Linked DNA regions of Sus scrofa. The protein of the gene in region 3 interacts with the protein of the main gene of each other region in a biochemical or structural test. Links are inferred from orthologs where the notes say so. Each region holds a gene or a part of one and is shown on either strand. Other genes may lie near its edges. The genes, in order: SREBF1, ELF3 and MED23.

Region 1 (5,707 bases), on a different chromosome or scaffold from region 3:
CTGTGCCCCTTGCCACATGACCAGCTGAGGACATGCGAACCTGCCGACCCGGTCCTTGGGGGCTCGAGGAGGCACTGCGGGGATGGCTGGCCAGCAGGTGCAGCCCTGCTTCCTTCCCTGCCCGCGCCCTCCCTCCAGCGGGCAGAGCTGCAGAGGGGCGGCTGCTTCATTCCCTCACATGTCTTCACAGCTCCGCGGACGTGGAGACCCGCTTGCGGATCCCTGAGAAATGGTGTGCTTGGCCCTAGCGACAGACAGCCACGGGTGGAAGCCACACTGGCCTCCTCCCACCTCAGGGCCTGTGCACTTGCTGTCTCTACTCAGATGTCCCCTCTTCAGAGAGGCCTGCCCTGACTGCCTCGGTTTCCCCACGGTGCTCGGCAGCACCTGTGCCTCCACTCTTCCATGTATCTGCAGACTGTCGGTGTCCCTTTGCTAGAACGTAAAAGGCCCACAAGGGAGGTCTTCAGGCTGTGTCCCTGTACCCCAGGGCTCAGCACAGGCTGGACATGCAGTAGACGCTTCGGAATTGACAGTCGATATTGTCAGTGAAACAGATCTGGGCTTCATGGACCAGGTCATGTGGGGAAGGTGGTGAGCTCCCTGTCCCAGGAGGCATGTAAGCACAGTTTGGGGTTCAGGGTCTCATGCAGGTTGGATGGGCCATGGGCTCCTGTGATGGTCAGAGCAGGACTCGTGCAGGCTCGTGGTGTGGGGTGTTCCCAGGATTTGCAGCATGGCGCTCCCAGAATAAACAGGCCTTTAGAGGGAGGTTTGAAGGTAGAGCCAGGGAGGGCGGGAGGGGGCTCAGGTTTCCTGTTGGGTCCTGATGGAATCCGGGCAGGAGAGGAGGAAGGAGAGGAAAAGGAGGGTCTGGCTTGGGGAGGGCGGGAAGGTGAGGAGGGGGGCAGGCGGGCCCACCTGTGCCTCTCTTCCCTGCGTTAAGGGCACGCGGGCCGCCCCTCCTGCCGGCAGCTGAGCCTGGGCTCACTGGAGGTTGGGCCCCACTTGGGGGGAACCCTGGCCAGCCTTTCTCCCGGGAACTGGGGTGAGACAGCGGGGAGCTTCCTTAAACAGTGTGCCCTGGGCGCCTTTCTCGCCTCCCAGAACCCCCTCCTCCGAGATCAGGGGTGAGGGACTCCCCTGGGACTACACAGCAAGGGAGGGCTGGGGCGCAGGTCCAGCCCCTCTTGGCCCTGGCACCCGGCTGCTGCAGAAATTGGCTCTATGTGTGTGTGTCACGGGGGTGGGAAGTCCAGTCGGGCCATGAGTTCAGGGGTGGCCCTCTGCATGCCACCAGGTGCCTGTTCCTCACTGCATCTTAGCTTAGGTTGTGTCTCCCGGCCTGCCTGGGGTGGGCCCCAGGAGGTGGCGGCAGGGCCGCTGGGAGCCTCTCCTTCTGCCTCCTTGGTCTGGATGCGTTGGGGCAGGGCATGGCCAGGTGAGAAATGGGAAGCACAAGAGTGCGGAGAAGGGCAGAGGAAGGTGGCTCCGGTGGGGCGGCCGGCCACGGCCCTGCTGGTCCACCTGCCAGGTCCTGGGCTCACACACGGGAGCACAGTGAGGACAGGACCTGCCGTGAGTTTGAATTCAGACCTCGTGTCTTCTGGTCTCAGTCAGGCGAGGTCAGAGCCTTCCCAACAGCAATGTCTTGTGTGACTTTTCGGGTGAGGGCCTGGCAGAGGAGAGAGGGAAGTGGAGGTGCTGGAGAATTCTGCTGCCCTCGTTACCCTCCCGCACGGCCGTGGCCACGGCAGGAGCCGGGCAAAGGGGGAGCGTGTGTGTGGGAGAGGCAGCCTCCTGGAGAGGGAGAGCATCCGGCCAGGGCTCTCCGGCCCCCACCTGCCACCGGCCCCCACCTGCCACCGTCGGCTCCATCGGCCCCTCTAAGGCTGCGGGAGACCAGGAGAGGGAGCAGGGCTGGGCCCAGCTGTGGCTGGAGGCCGGCTTGAGCCCTGGGGTCTGTTTGGCCGCAAAAGCCCAAGCTGGCAGCCTGGGCTGCTGGCCAGGCTCTGTCCCTCTGAGTGTGTGGCGCTCTGACCTTCGAAGCCGAGAGAGGCCCAGGTGGCCCCCCAGCGACCCCGAGCCTGTCACCCTCCGCCCCAAGGCCTGCCCCACCCCACAGCGAGTGAGTCAGGCTCCCCCCTGAGACTGCTGGGGAGTGTGGGGGTGGGTTCGCCTTCCCGGACCCCCACCCCAGACCCTGGCCCCTCTGCAGAGGGCGTCAGCTCTGGCTGTGCACTTGCGGTGGGGCTGTCCCTTCCGCACTCGCTCAGGCTCCAGGCAGTGGCCCGGCCCCGGCCCACGGGGTGGGGACTCACGCTGGGGCTGCCGTGAGGGGGAGGTCCCCGCCCCCACGGCCAGACAGCCCTTCGCCTCACTTGAGCCTGCACCCATTACTTGTCCCCGTCGATGCAGGGAAACGTGCTCGTCCCATTTTCCCGGAGCGCACTGCGACTTAGCGCGGTTGAGACCCGCGGCGGAGGGCTGGGCCATCCCTGGCCCACCCCCGGCCCCGCGCCTCTCAGCCCCCGCAGCCCCTTCGGCCGCACTCTCGGAGATGGCGGGACGTGACCGCCAGTAACCCTGCGGACGTCGGCGCGGGGCGGGTTAAGGGCCGGCGTCCGCGAGTAACCCCGGCCCTCTGCGGCCCCGCGGGGCGCAACCCGAACCGCGCGGTGGGGGTGGGGCGGGGCCGGGGCGGGGCCCCGGGAGGCGGTGGCGCGGCCGCTGATTGGCCGCGCGCGCTCACCCCATGCCCGGCCCGCGGCCCCGGGGCGGGGCCGGCCGGCGGGGCGGGGCCCGGGCGGGGCCGGCGAGGGGCGTGGCCGGCGGCGGGCGCTCGGGGCTTTCGCTGCTTTAAAGCGCGGCGGGCCGGCGGCCCTCGGCCGGTGGAGTCCGCGCGCGGAGACCGGCGGGCCAGCCGCCTGGACGCCCCGAGGGGCGGCGGGCGCGGGCCGCGGAACCATGGACTGCACGTTCGAAGGTATTTTTTGAGGACCCCCACCCCTTTATAGCAGAGCTTCCGTCTCCGCCGTGGGGTCCGTGCCCCCGTGCGCAGGGGGGCGGCCGGAGCTCCGAGTGAGAGCCCGCTCCTGAGGGGAGGAGCACCCGCTCCCGGCTCTCCGGGGACCTGGCGGGCCCTTCCCACCTCCGCAGTCACCCCCACCCCAAGCTCCGAAGCGAGAGGGCAGCTCTCCCACATCCCCTGCCGCCCAGGGAGAAGGGCCGCTCGGGCCCCCCTTTGGGGGCGTATGGTGGGCTTGCCGGACGGACAGTGGAGCCCTGGGTTCGGGCGCTTGTTCTTTCTGGGCCTCAGTTTCCCCATCCGTGGAAGGGGCTCAGGAAGCCTGGGCGAGGGGCTCCAGCCGGTGGAAGCAGCCTGTGCCAGTAGGCTAAGGGGTCTCCGAGGGCCCAGGAGGGCTCAGCCTGGCACCCCCCTGCCCTGCTCTGCCGGAGGTGTCGCAAGGCCCCCTGCGCAGTCACTTTCCCGCCGGAGCACCTGTCAGGCAGTGTCGAGGCCCCTCTCCTGCCGCTGGCTGCCTGCCTGCGGAACCTCTGGCTGCCCTGCCACAAGGGCTTTCATCTTGCTGTTGTGCACATGAGGAAACCGAGGCCCAGGGGCAGAAGCCACTGGCCCACACCCCACCGCCCGTCGGTGGTGGGCAGAGCTGGAAGCTCAGGCTGGGGATCACACTTGGGGTTCCCACAGTTTGCTCATGGGCCTGCAGAGCACTCCGACCCAGTGGGTGGCTCCCCCAGTGGGTTAAAGGGCCCTGGGCTGACCCAGCCGGGCTGCTACTTGCCTTCTGGGGGAGAGGGCCCGTGGCCGGGCTGGGGCTGTGGGAGGGAGGGTGTCCCAGGCGGCACGAGGAGGAAGGGGAACAGACAGCCAGAAGCGACTGCTTCTGTGGAGCGGAAGCCGAAGCCCAAATGGCCGGTTCCGAGGCTGCCTGGCTGCAGACGGGGCTTGGGCTTGTGCCCAGAACACGCAGGGATGCACTGGCTGGCGCACGCGGGGCAGGGGCTGGCTGGGGCTCCCCAGAGGGCTGGGTTGGGGAGGCAGCTCTGGAGCTGGTAGTCGGGGCCCAGGCCTCGGAGGGCCTAGCCTGCGTGGCACTGGCTCGTCCAGTGTCGCAAGGCTGTTTGATGCACCAGGCAAAGCTCCAGATGTCACAGGGGCCAGGGCACATCTGTGTCCTCGAGCATGGGCGCCCGTGTGTGGCTTTCTGTCTTGGTGGCGTCGCTCCCACGTGTTACCACGGTGTGGACGAGGGCCGCGCAGATCCGTGACGCCGCCTCTCCTCCCCTCAGACATGCTTCAGCTCATCAACAACCAAGACAGCGACTTCCCCGGCCTGTTCGACGCGCCCTACGCTGGCGTTGCAGGAGGCACGGACCCCACCAGTCCTGATGCCAGCTCCCCAGGCAGCCCGACGCCGCCTCCTTCCACCATGAGCTCCCCGCTTGAAGGCTTCCTGGGGGGGGCCAGGACGCCGCCACCGCCCCCCGTGTCCCCAACCCAGCCTGCACCCACCCCGCTGAAGATGTACCCGTCGGTGCCTGCCTTCTCGCCTGGGCCGGGCATCAAGGAGGAGCCAGTGCCACTGACCATCCTGCAGCCCCCCACCCCACAGCCCCTGTCTGGGGCTCTCCTGCCCCAGAGCCTTCCAGCCCCCGCCCCTCCGCAGTTGAGCCCTGCCCCCGTGTTGGGCTACCCCAGCCCTCCTGGAAGCTTCTCCTCAGGTAAGGGGGCGTGTGGAGGGAGGGGGCAGCGGAGCACAGGGTCAGGGGGCTGCTGTGGTCTGACTGGAGGTCCCACTTGGTGGCCTTTGGGAACAGGGTCCCTGCTCTGCTGCTTGAGGCGCCCCCGTCCCTAGCAGCACCCGGGCTCCTGTTGCCGGCGCACTGCCCCTGCTCCCCTGGTGTCCGCAGCAGCGCTGCCCTTGCGCAGATAAATGCGTGGCTGGGAAGCCAGCACACTTGCATCAGAGCCCCAGGCAGGGCCTGTCCAGATAGGCCTGAGGCCACAGGGGTGGTGACTCATCCAGGGTCACACGGTGATGAGGACGGGGCAGGACGGGGCGGGTTGAAGGTGGGTCAGGGCGGCCTGTGTCCACAGCCCCAGCCTTTGTCTCTGCAGCGACCCCTCCAGGGAGCACCTCACAGACGCTGCCTGGCCTGCCGCTGGCCTCTCTGCCCGGGGTCCCGCCCGTCTCCGTGCACACCCAGGTCCAAAGTGCGGCCCCCCAGCAGCTGTTGACAGCCACGGCCACCCCCGTGGTGTCCCCTGGAACAACCACTGTGACCTCGCAGATCCAGCAGGTCCCGGTGAGGGGGCTGGCCAGGCACCAGGGAGGTGGCAGTCCCGGCCAGCCCCTGAGCCCCCAGCTGAGCCCTCTGCCTTCCTTAGGTCCTGCTGCAGCCCCACTTCATCAAGGCGGACTCCCTGCTCCTGACGACCATGAAAACAGACATGGGGACCCCTGTGAAGGCGGCGGGCATCGGCTCCCTGGCCCCTGGCACAGCCGTGCAGGCAGCACCTTTGCAGGTGGGCAGCTCGGGCCAGGCAGGGGGCATGGGGTCTGCATGCATGCCTGCCTGCCCTAACCGTGCCTGGGCCCGCAGACCCTGGTGAGCGGCGGGACCATCCTGGCGACGGTGCCTCTGGTAGTGGACACTGACAAGCTGCCCATCAACCGCCTGG
Region 2 (5,707 bases), on a different chromosome or scaffold from region 3:
CAGCAGCTGCCCAGCAGGTCTCACCTCATGGCCCTGCTCAGCTTCTCGTAGGTCATGCTGCTGTTCTTCTTCTTCTGACCCCACAGCTGGGCCACGGCCTCGGAGCGCAGGAACTTGAAGACACCTTCTTGCCGGTTCTCCCACTTCATGAGGCCCTCGTTGAGCTCCGGGTTGATGAGGATATCACGGATGAACTCCCACAGGTGGGTGCCTCTGGGGGCTACAAGGCCAGTTCCATCAGTCAGTAGCCCAGGGCACCCCCAACTCACATGACTGCTGCCCATCCCAGCACACATCCTACTGATGGCTGCCTCCCTGCCTGGCCCAGCATGCTGCCTACTGATGGCTGCCTCCCTGCCCATCCCAGCACACTGCCTACTGATGGCTGCCTCCCTGCCTGGCCCAGCATGCTGCCTACTGATGGCTGCCTCCTTCCTCGCCTCACCCACTGGACAGCTGGGAAGCTCCAAAAACACGTGTCTCACACAGCACAGAGATTAAACACACTCCAATACTGATCAAATATCTGGCTTGGATACCAGAGCGGTGAGACATAGCACTGCCTTGAGGGGCTTGTGGTTTGGAGGGGTCATGGTAAAACAAAGCAAATACACCAGCTAGTGGTGAGAGCTTGTTAGGTATAGGAGCACAGAGCTGGCCCCAGCCTGGGGGCCAAGGGGACAGCTTCTTGGAAAGAAGCCCAAGAAGAAAACAGGCCCAAAGCTGGGGGCAGGGGGCAGGCAGCATGGATGAGCAAGAGCTGCAGGGACACTCCCAGTGGGGAGGGTGGTGGGAACTCACTCAAGGCCAGAGGCCAGCGGGCAGGGACTTGGTAGGGGAAGGGCCGCCTTGGCCCAGCCCTCAGTGGGCGGGGCATCCAGCAGCCCAGCCACTGTCCCTGCCTGAGCCTGCCCAGCACCCACCAGCCTCTTCCCACCAGCAAATGGGCCCCCCAGGCAGGACAGGGCAGGGGCAGGGAGACTAGACTCCACCTCCAGCCTTCCCCAGGTGCCCCCCTGAGGGACCACCAACCAGCTCTGCTGCTAGGCAGTGACCCATACCCAGGGCCCTGGCCTCAGGCACAGCTGCAATGAGGGCAGGAGGGAGGAATGGTGTGAGCCCCCACACACACACCGCGCAGGCCCCCCTCCCACCATTCAGCCCTCCCCACCATGCAGGTCCCCCCCTCACCATGCTTGCTCTTCGTTCCCTCCAGACACCCCCGAGATTCTTTGCTCAGCTTTCGGGGGCGGCCCCGTTTCCGCTTCCCGTGCTTCAGATCCCCCTTCTTGTAGTCTGGGAAGCCATCTGTGGGGAGAGGTGGTGGGTCAGGGTAGGGAGGGATGGGGGCTGGCTCCAGGCACTGCCAGTGGGACCCCCCGTGGGGACCAGGAGACCTCGGCTCACCCCCGGAGAAGGGCTTGCTGTCAGGGGCGTCCAGGTCCACGTCGCTTCCACCGGAGTCTGAGGTGGGGGAGCTCTGGGAGGCTCCAGTGCCTGGGGAGGGAGTGGGTGTGAGCCCCTCCCAGCCACACTGCTGCCCACCGACTCCCATCCATCCTCCAGGGAAGCCAGGGCCTCTGGGGCAGGGGGAGCTGTGGGCAGACGCCAGCCGGGCTCACCTGCGGTGGAGACATCGGAGCTGCCTGGGGAGGGGGCTCCCGCGCTGAAGCTGCCCGGGTAGAAGGGGCTGGGCTGTCTGCAGTCCTCCAGCATCTCTTGGGCGAAGGGGCTTCCCTGGTCTGGGAGAACAGGGGAGGGTTCAGATGGGTCTGACTGGGTGGCACCGGGCAGAAATGGGGAGGACAGGCTGGGGATGCCGAAGACTCTCACCAAAGGGGCCCTGGTCTCCGAGGGGCTCCTGGAGGGTCATGCTGTCCTTCTCCAGAAGTTCCATGATCCAGCTGAGCTCGTCAGGAAAGCTGGAAGCTGATAAGAAGGGGGATCAGGGCCCAGGCTGGCTCCTCTCCCCTCCCCCGGGCTCCCTCTAGGGCGGCTCCCCAGACCAGCCTCCCTGACGGGGAAGGCCCCTCCAGGACTTACTGAGGTCCCATAGCTGAGCATAGAGCTGGTCCCCCAAGGGCCCGAAGACCAGGCGCAGCTCCTCAGGGGCGCAGCGGCAGAGCGCGGCCCCGTCCATGTCACAGCGCGAGAGGTCGATGGTGCTGGCGTCGTATTTGTGCTTCTCCACTTGGTAGCTGATCCAGTCCAGAACCTGGGCCTTGGACCAGAGCTGGGGCTGCTCCCCCGACCAGCTGGCCTTCTCTGCAGGGGACGGGCAGGTGGCGGCAGGTCAGCCCCCTTCTGGAGCCCATTGGGGTGCCTCTCCGAGAACCCAGCCAGGCTGGGGCAGGAAGCACTGCTCACAACCATTCCCGGCCCCCAAACCCCAGCACGCCAACTGCTTACAGCTCACCCCAGCCGCCCTCCCTGCCTGACCCCCATTTGTCCACAGGCTCTTAGATGCTCGTCTCCCCTTCCTCAAACACCCCACCGCAGCCTGAGACCCACCTGGGCCCTCCAGGGGCATCTGTGGGCTGCCCAGGGCCAGCACCAGGTCGTCGGCCCCAAAGGTGGCAGCGGCGGGAACAGAAGCCAGAGTGGGGTCCTCCGAGCTGTACATCGTACTGAAGTAATTGCTAAAAACGTTGCTAATCTCGCAGGTTGCGGCCATGAGGCTCCCTGGGAAGGGAGGGCGAGGCAGATGAGGGCCGGTCCTCTCCTACCCTCCAGCCACTCTGCTCCAGCCAAGCCTGGGGCAGGAAGGGCCCAAGGGCGCGAAGGTCAACAGCTCTGGGGACACCTATTCCTCCATAAGGGCTCCAAGGTCTCTAAGCTGGGGCAGGGGTGGGGGCACAAGGCCCCCCACCAGGCTCCCTCCTCAGCCCACCTGGGTCCTTGAGTGGGACCAGCAGTCTGTCCCCCCCAGGACAAGGCCCTGGGGACACCACCTGCACTCTGGCTGGGAATTCCACCCTGCGAACTGCTGGGGGAGACACAGGTTCCCCAGTGCCCCCTCACCCCCAGTGTCCCCAGGCCGGGCTGGGTAACATGATGGGCTGGGGTCCTACCGGTGGCGGCTGAGGGTGTGGCAGGCAGGTTAGGGGACAGCAGGCGGGAAGAATCCGGGGACAAGCTCTGCCAGGTGGTGGTGCGCAGAGGCTCTGGCTGCGCTCCCGGCGCCCTAAGAACAAGCATCTGAGCTCCGCCCGCCCAGGCCTTTATAGGCGCCTGCGGTAACCTGAGCTGGTGGCTCATTGGTCGAGGGGATTTCCTGGCCTTTAGACTGGGCTCCTGGCCCCAGGTGATTTGCATATTTTGTGCCTCTTGGCTGGGATCCAGGCTGCGGTGCTGGGAAGTCAGGCCCTGCTGGTTTAATGATTGTCAGGGTCTGTCATCCCGCACCCTCTGGGGTTGGGCACAGGGCAGTGGCCTGGGCGGGGGGCCGAGAGCCGCTGGGTGGGCATGTGCACTTTCGGCCACCCCCTGGCTCAGGAAATTCCTTAGGGGGGCCAGGCAGGGACAGGCTAGGGGAGGGTGCGTGACTGGGTCAGAGCTGGGTCGGGAACACTCCCGGCCCCCAATGTCTGCAGGTCTGAAGACAAAGGGGATGGAGCAGGGAGAGAAGATACTGAGGTCTGGGGTTTTTCCCACGATGCCCAGGATTCAGGCTGGAAGGCTCTCTAGACACCAGGCTACATTCACGGGGGTCTGGGTAGGGCCCTGGCGTCCCTAGCCACAGGGCCCACCACTGTCCTCTCCTTTGTTGGCAAGGTCTTGGCATTCTTTGCCTGCTGGATGCCCCACAAGCATCACGGTCACCCCTGTCCAAGCACCTGGCTCTGCTCAGAAACCCCCCGGACCCCTGATGGAGCCCACCTAGAAGGGGGTGCTGGCAGGGGCTGCAGAGGGCGCTGGCCCCACGTGCGGGTGTTTACGGCTCTCTGTGGCCTCCGTCTGACCTCCCCGTCTAACCTCCGCTCCTCGGGTGCCGGCGCCTGCCTGCTGCCCCCTAGCGGCCAGAGGCCCCGCCCTTCGCCCGCATCGGGGACGCGGCGGGGCAGCGCGGCGGCGGGAATGTGTGGTTGTCCTCCTTTTACAGATCGGGAGGTTGCAGCTCGAGGGCTGAATGACCCGCCCAGGCCACGCGGACCTAGTTAAGTGGTGGAGCTGTGGTTTAACTCCCCCACCCGGCGCTCTTTCCAGTCGACCTCGCCCTCCCTCTGGGCAAGGTGACCTTTCCACACAGGGTCCTCTCCATGAACCCAGCCCCACTGCGGACCCCAAGGGGCGTCCTGCAGACCCCCGAGGCCCTGTGGGGCGGGGGGAGGGCAGCCAGGTGGCGAGGGGGCGGGAGACCTCTGGGGTCTCTTCCGGTTGCCATCCGTGAAAAAGAGTGTGTTTGGATACAATAGTCCCTCAGATACCTCCAATCTCACTCGTGGCCACATCGCAGAGGCAGGATCTGAGTATCTCCCCCCCACACAGTCCTGGGCGCCCCCCAGCCCCCTCCTTTAACCCTCCCTGCGAGGAATAAGACGTTCCTCTGGCATCTGCTTCCAGTCTCAGCTCTGAAATTGCTGGATGCGCAGAGGGAGTGAGGGTCTGGCCCCCTTCCACTGAGCCGGGAGTGGGGGGCCTGGGCCCTGGGGAGCAGGGCCCCAGCCCTTGGGGGGGGGCCTCCCCCACAGCCCCAGGCACGCCCTCCACCCAGTCCCTCGCCCTGGAATGTGGGAGAACCAGCTCTGGGCTCCAGCCCCAGGATAGCTCACGTGCTCCAGGGGAGAGTACCTGGCTGAGGCTGGGGTGGGGAGGGATGTGGAGGCAGCAGGGAGAAAGGCCGCAGGCCTCAGGCTCCTGGGAGAAGTGGGGCTGTCAAGCGTGCTTGTGGGCTGGCCTCCCTTAGCAGGTGATGTAGCGGTGGGGAGGGGTCAGGGCCTGGAGTGGCCAGGGGGATGGGGGGGGGGGCAGGGGGAGATGCGGGAGCAGTGGCACAACCTCTAGACCTAAGAAAGGACAGGACTGTGGGGGACACAGGCTGTGAGCCCCAGGACGCCCAGCTGTGAAACTAGGCTGAGAAAGGAGGCTCCTGGGTCCGCAGGATCTGTGCAGAACGCAAGGGAGCGGGGAGGCATCTGGACAGCCCTTCCCGTAACAGACAGCCAGGATGGTATGCTGGGCGCCCCTGTGTTGGGGAAGCTCCAGGTGCCCAGGACCACTGCCCACCAGACCCTGTGCAGAGGAGGGGTGGAGGCCCGTGTCAACAGCCTTGCAGCCAGTCCACTGCAAGTTTATTTGCACTGATGGAAAAGATGGGGGGGGCACTGCAGAAGAGGAGCAGCTCACCCACAGGTTCTCTCGGCAGAGGCTGTGCTTGAGAGGTGTGCCCTCTATCTTTCATATGCTCCTGTGGGACCCCCCTCCTCTGCCAGCCCAGGGTGGGGGAGGGGACCTAAGAAGAGGGGACACTGTCCTCTGGGTCCCTCTGACCTGATGAGAACTGCAGTGGGGTGGGGGGATCCTGGGGGAAGGAACGGCACAGTCAAATACTTTCCACTTAAAAAAAAATATTTATTAAAAGAGCGATTAAACTTGAAAAAGAATCACCAAAATGCAGCCCTTTGCACAGTATTTCATGAATCAGCCAAAGAAAAAAAAGAAAAAGGAAAAAAAAAATTAAAAAGAGGAAAAAAATCCCAGAGACTCA
Region 3 (5,607 bases):
GAAAGTTAATGTAAATTCAAATAATTTGAAATTGGGATTAAAAAATCCTCTAAAGGCACTTGTTACCTTCACACAGTAGGCAGTATCTAGTGGAAAAAAATCATAGGATTTTAGTGCTTACAATTAATCTGTTCCCACCCTTTATTAAATAAGTGATGTATCTGCAGTGAAGGGACTTGCCCAAGGACATAGAGAAAAACTTAGAAATGGCTTCAGCACTATGAAATTCTTAAGCATCACTGTAAGGAAAGGATTTTTGCCCAGAAATCCAATCAAAGAGGAATAGTGTTTACATTTACACTTGTACATTCTCATACAGGTGTAAATGTTAATACTATTTTCCAAATTTGGACAGAACGAATAATGACTGGACAGCACAGAGCTGAAGAGTTTAGATGCCAGAATCAGATTGTCTGAGTTAAAATTCTGACCATACTATTTCCTAAATTGGCGGGGGGGGCTAGTCAAGTTACTCTCCCACTTTGTGTCTCAGTTTCATCATCTGAATAAGGGAAATATTAAGATGATTGCTAAGAATAAAGTTTGTTGCAAAGTCAAACTCTTAAAACAGTGCCTGGCACATAAGTATACAATAAGTTTATCTGTACTCATTATTATTATCATGATGATGGCATATTCCATTTAGTTTACCACTTTTTCACATTCCAAAGTTTTGCTAACTAACGTGCCGAGAGCCCAGAACTATCACCTCAGTTGCACTATTTAACCCTCCTTTTAGACAAGTTTCCTAATCCCTCTGTACATCATTTTTAACATGAAACATTTACATGAAAACAATCTTGCCCTCTGCACCTCCTGCTCTGTTACCACTGCAAACCCCAAGATGGATAAAATGAATTTATCAAACTTCATTAGAACTTTATGTCCATATCTCATATTTCATTTTATGGGTGTTTGTATTTTTTTTTCTTTGAGAATTTTCTACTCTACTTTTGTCCTCCCTTGCCCCTTCCCTTTTGAAAAAAAAAAAAAAAATCTAACAAAGAGGAGGCTCACTCTTCAGATTTTAGCAATACTGCAAATTCATTTTTGGTCCTTGCTTTGTAAAGAAAAATGAAAACAAAGAATTAATTTAAAAGTTCAATTTTCTGATGTTCCTTTGTGAGGCAGTGGGTTAAAGATCCAGCGTTATCACCGCAGTGGCCCAGGTCACTGCTGTGGAGCAGGTTCGATGCCTGGTCTAAGAACTGCCATATGCTGTGGCAAGGCCAAAAAGAAAAATTCATGTTTCTAACTGTAAGTGTTTTGCTAGAGGTGGACCACTGGAACATAAACATCAGCAATATGAAAAACCACATGCTATACTTGCATACTGAAATCATATGATAAATCATAAACTATCTTTCATTAAATATTCACTTCTTTAGTCTATGAAAAGATAATTTAGCATTACACATCATATAATCCAGGATAAAGACTCTTAATGGATCAAAAGTTCCATTATACTTAGTAACATACCTTATCATATGGCAATAGGCCTTTCAAAGGAAAACGGAGAGTTGCAGGGTCCAATTTCCATGAGTTACAAATGGCACCCGAGTTATTTACAACTGGCAGAAGGCTGCAGCGGCCTGTACATATTACAAAAAATGTTTCTAAATAAATGTGAACACAGTAACACCTGGTTTTTCAAATATTTAATGAATACATATGCTAAACCAGGCACTGATTTAAAAAATATTTTAATTAAATGGAAGTTTGGGGATTTCCTTCCAGATGGTTAAAGACCAATTTGCACGGGCCTTCCAAACTCACAGATGTTCCATCTATCCAGGGACAGAGGTCGGCAAGCTACGACCCATGAACCAAATCCAGCTAGCCACCTGTTTTGTAAAGTTTTATTGGAATCCTTCTGCTTTTGCACTGTAATGACAGAGTTGGGTAGTTGCAATTGATTGTATAGCCCATGAAGCCTAAAATATTTCTTACATCACCATTTACAGAAAACGTTTATGGACCTTTAGTCTAGGGTCAACATGAGTAACTTTAAACATGATGTTCCTAGAGGCCTTGGATGTTGTATATGACCATCAGTCTGCTCATGCATCCAACTGCCTGATGAACACTATCACTGGGATGCCCTGCAGGCACCTCAAGTTCAACAACACTTAAGCTAAATTCATCATCATCCTTCTCAAACCTGCACCACTTCCATAATTCATTAAATGATGTCAATATCCACTCAGTTACAAAAGCTAGAAGCCTGAGGTTTATCCATCTTGGGTCTCTTTATTTTTGTATTTTCAGTGTCTAGAATAGCACCTGACTCATAGAAAATGCTCAAAATTTGGTCACTGACTAAATAATGGCCTATACTGGACTTCCTGTCGTGGCGCAATGGTTAACGAATCCGACTAGGAACCATGAGGTTGAGGGTTCGGTCCCTGCCCTTGCTTAGTGGGTTAACGATCTGGCGTTGCCGTGAGCTGTAGTGTAGGTTGCAGACATGGCTCGGATCCCGCGTTGCCATGGCTCTGGCGTAGGCCGGTAGCCATAGCTCCGATTAGACCCCTAGCCTGGCAACCTCCATATGCCATGGGAGGCAGCCCTAGAAAAGGCAAAAAGACAAAAAAAAAAGTCTATATTCCCAGGCTGTTCAGAGGCTACCAAGATTTCTAGAAAAAATTCAGGAAAATATATGATCCCTGCAAAAATTGCAAAATAAATATTTATTTTTAAAAGAAAACTCAGAGAATCTAACAAACATGAAAAAATGGAAAATAAACGACATACAGAGCAAAGATGTAAATTAGTATGGGCTGAGAGAGTCAGATAATGTTGTATACTACAGCCAGAGAGGGACAGATCCATTGAGACTTTCAGTTGTCTACAGATTCCATGACACTAACTATTGAAAGTTCCCTCTAATCACTGGGAAATACACTTTCTAGAATGGTTCTATCTCAAGCTTAGACCCAGTCCAGACAGTTGCTTTTCCCTCCTTACGCTCAGCACAAAGTACCTGAAAACAAGCAAAAGGCCATTATTAAGCTCCTAGAGTTATACCTTGTGTAAGTCATGAAGACATGTACTAGATACCATGCATTAACTTTGTTCAATAGTCAGATCGCTAAAAATTGGGTACTGTTTGGTATATTTTAGATTATAGTCCTACCACAAATGGAATTTATCCTTGCTGTAGGCCTGAAAGTATCCACAAAGTCTGATACCAGGTTTCCAAGTAACTAAAACAAAACAGAAAACAAATAAGTATAAAAATAAAATCAAGATTTTCCTCAATACAAGGATCATTTATATAAAACAATATGTAAAGATTTAATACAATTCCTGACACATAAAATTACTCAAAGATTAGTTTTCTTTTGCTTCTTCCAAACAATTATTTACCAGTTCATTTATCCCTGAATTAAGCCAGGTCATACCACCATGTCCTTCACTAATTAATGAAGCTGAGTATATTTGATCACAATGATATACAAACTGTCTCAACAGAATAGCAAAGAAATGAAAGAAATATATCATCTCATAATAAAAAATGATTATTATCTACAGATAAAATGACTTTTAAAAAGCAAGCACATAAAAATAAAATCAATATAACTATTTTTAATACAAATTTCTAGTAAAAATTTTAGAAAAATTTACCCAGTGTGGAAGTTTTCCCTCAGGATATAGTTTCCTGATCTCTGTAACTGCAAAATATGCTGGTAGTAAGCAAGCATTTCTTTCCAAGATATATGCAATAACCTAAGTAAAATAAAAGGGCAATGTTATTATTTTGACTCACCTTTCCCATAGATAAGCCCTTCAAATGCAACAATGGTATTAAAAGGTAGCGATATCATTTCATTCATTCATTGGGCTTAAGCTATAGCATTAAAAAATTATTTGTAAGTGGAGAATATCTAAAAATGAAGAATAATAAGCAATAGAATGGATTGCTGACAGTTCATAAATGACATTGAAAATGCTTTAAATACTGGTAGACTCCAACAGGAAGCAACAGACTAAGAATTCTTACAACATTAGTTACAAAACACAGCAATCTTTTGAGTGTTCCTTAGGCTGACTTCCTATAAGGGTTGAAATACTTTAATATATCTATATTGTTCTTTTCCTAATTAAAAATTATGAATTAAAATCTGTTTTTTTTAACTAAAAATTATGAATTAAAATTTAAAATTTCAGAGTTCCTGTCATGGCTCAGTGGTAACAAATCCAACTAGTATCCATGAGCACATGGGTTCAATCCAGGGTTGCAGTGAGCTGTGGTGTAGGTTGCAGATGTAGCTCAGATCCTGCATTGCTGTGGCTGTGGCGTAGGCTGGCAGCTACAGCGCCAATTTGATACCTAGCCTGGGAATTTCCATATGCCACATGAGTGCCCCCCAAAAAGAAAAAAAAAATTTAATTTCCTCTTCAAATATAATGAAAGTGAAATAGCATTTTTAAAAGTAGACATGATTTTTAGGTGTTCTGGCTGTGGCACAGTGGGTTAAGGATCTGTCATTGCCTCCGCAACAATGTGGGTTTGATCCCCAGCCTGTCACAGTGGGAAAAAAGGATCTGACATTGCCACAGCTGTGGCATAGGTCACAGGTGCAGTTTGGATTTGATCCTTGGTCGAGGAATTTACATATACCATGTGTGCAGCCAAAAAAAAAAAAAAAAAGGCCTGATTCTTGCAAAAGTAAGCAAATGGCAGATTTTACAAACTACCATTAAGTTTTACAAGCACAGAACTATGTAATATTAAACTTTTTTTAAGGCATGATCAACAAGTTGCAGAAATGTTTAAATTACCTCTCTTGCTGCTAGGAGCTGCTGTACAACAGCGGAGCTCACTGTATTGGGAATTGTTAAGATTTTCTCCAAAATCACTTTTAAAAGATCTCGAACACCCTGATATAATAGAAAAGTCATATGTTAAACTTAAGTAATGTCACCTGTGCTAGTTAAAATATCTAAAAGTTCCAAGATTATATACTTGGGGGGAAAAATGTTATCTTCAAGGTAATACTTTTAATTTTTCTGAACTAGAGCTAATATTCAAGCCCTTAGGATTAACCCAAGAGAAGTATCATGTTCCAAAACAGAATTGTAAAGAACAGCTTGCAGTATAAATGAACAAAGAAACTCGCTCATAAATAAAAATTAAATTTTCCACACTCTACTAAGCTTTTTTGACCTTCATAACATTAAAAGAGTTTCTATTATTATGAGTGCCAAAAAAACCCTTAATTTGAACTTAACAGACAGAAATACGTTTGAATAGAACTTGAAAATATTCTGAAAACATGGATAATGATATAAAACTTTCTGGTAGATGACTCCTTCAGCTCCTTCCTGTCGGCATATTCTAACTTTATTCCCCTCCTCATAATCCATCACATACTTTAATCCTCCCAACTTATCTAATAAAGCTATTCTGTTAATGGTCATCTACTCATATCTACTACCAGCTGCATTATTTCAGAGCAGAATGCGATATGTAGAGAAATTTCATTCTATAATATAAACCATGAGATCAATCTTGTAAAAGAGATAGATGAAACATATACATGAAAGAAATGAGAAACAATTATAAAGCACCATACAAGTAAGTAAAGAAGTAAAAACTACATA

What was found.
Region 1: the proteins of MED23 (region 3) and SREBF1 form a complex in vitro, tested with the Homo sapiens proteins (2 studies listed by BioGRID). The link is inferred for Sus scrofa from reciprocal best matches to the Homo sapiens genes MED23 and SREBF1.
Region 2: the proteins of MED23 (region 3) and ELF3 form a complex in vitro, tested with the Homo sapiens proteins (4 studies listed by BioGRID, with this or other methods). The link is inferred for Sus scrofa from reciprocal best matches to the Homo sapiens genes MED23 and ELF3.

The regions. Positions count from the first base shown.
Region 1 is NC_010454.4:60,738,454-60,744,160, forward strand, and holds the start of SREBF1 (sterol regulatory element-binding protein 1), read left to right. Parts: upstream 1-2,858; 5' UTR 2,859-2,967; coding exon 2,968-2,986; intron 2,987-4,314; coding exon 4,315-4,746; intron 4,747-5,143; coding exon 5,144-5,331; intron 5,332-5,413; coding exon 5,414-5,551; intron 5,552-5,628; coding exon 5,629-5,707.
Region 2 is NC_010452.4:24,235,364-24,241,070, reverse strand, and holds the start of ELF3 (ETS-related transcription factor Elf-3), read right to left. Parts: upstream 3,220-5,707; 5' UTR 3,199-3,219; coding exon 3,072-3,198; intron 2,754-3,071; exon of another isoform or gene 2,683-2,753; coding exon 2,512-2,682; intron 2,266-2,511; coding exon 2,044-2,265; intron 1,930-2,043; coding exon 1,834-1,929; intron 1,743-1,833; coding exon 1,623-1,742; intron 1,498-1,622; coding exon 1,192-1,497; intron 221-1,191; coding exon 25-220; intron 1-24. UniProt on the Homo sapiens protein: Transcriptional activator that binds and transactivates ETS sequences containing the consensus nucleotide core sequence GGA[AT]. Acts synergistically with POU2F3 to transactivate the SPRR2A promoter and with RUNX1 to transactivate the ANGPT1 promoter.
Region 3 is NC_010443.5:31,966,078-31,971,684, reverse strand, and holds part of MED23 (mediator of RNA polymerase II transcription subunit 23), read right to left. Parts: intron 4,885-5,607; coding exon 4,786-4,884; intron 3,730-4,785; coding exon 3,628-3,729; intron 3,207-3,627; coding exon 3,137-3,206; intron 1,593-3,136; coding exon 1,480-1,592; intron 1-1,479. UniProt on the Homo sapiens protein: Required for transcriptional activation subsequent to the assembly of the pre-initiation complex. Component of the Mediator complex, a coactivator involved in the regulated transcription of nearly all RNA polymerase II-dependent genes.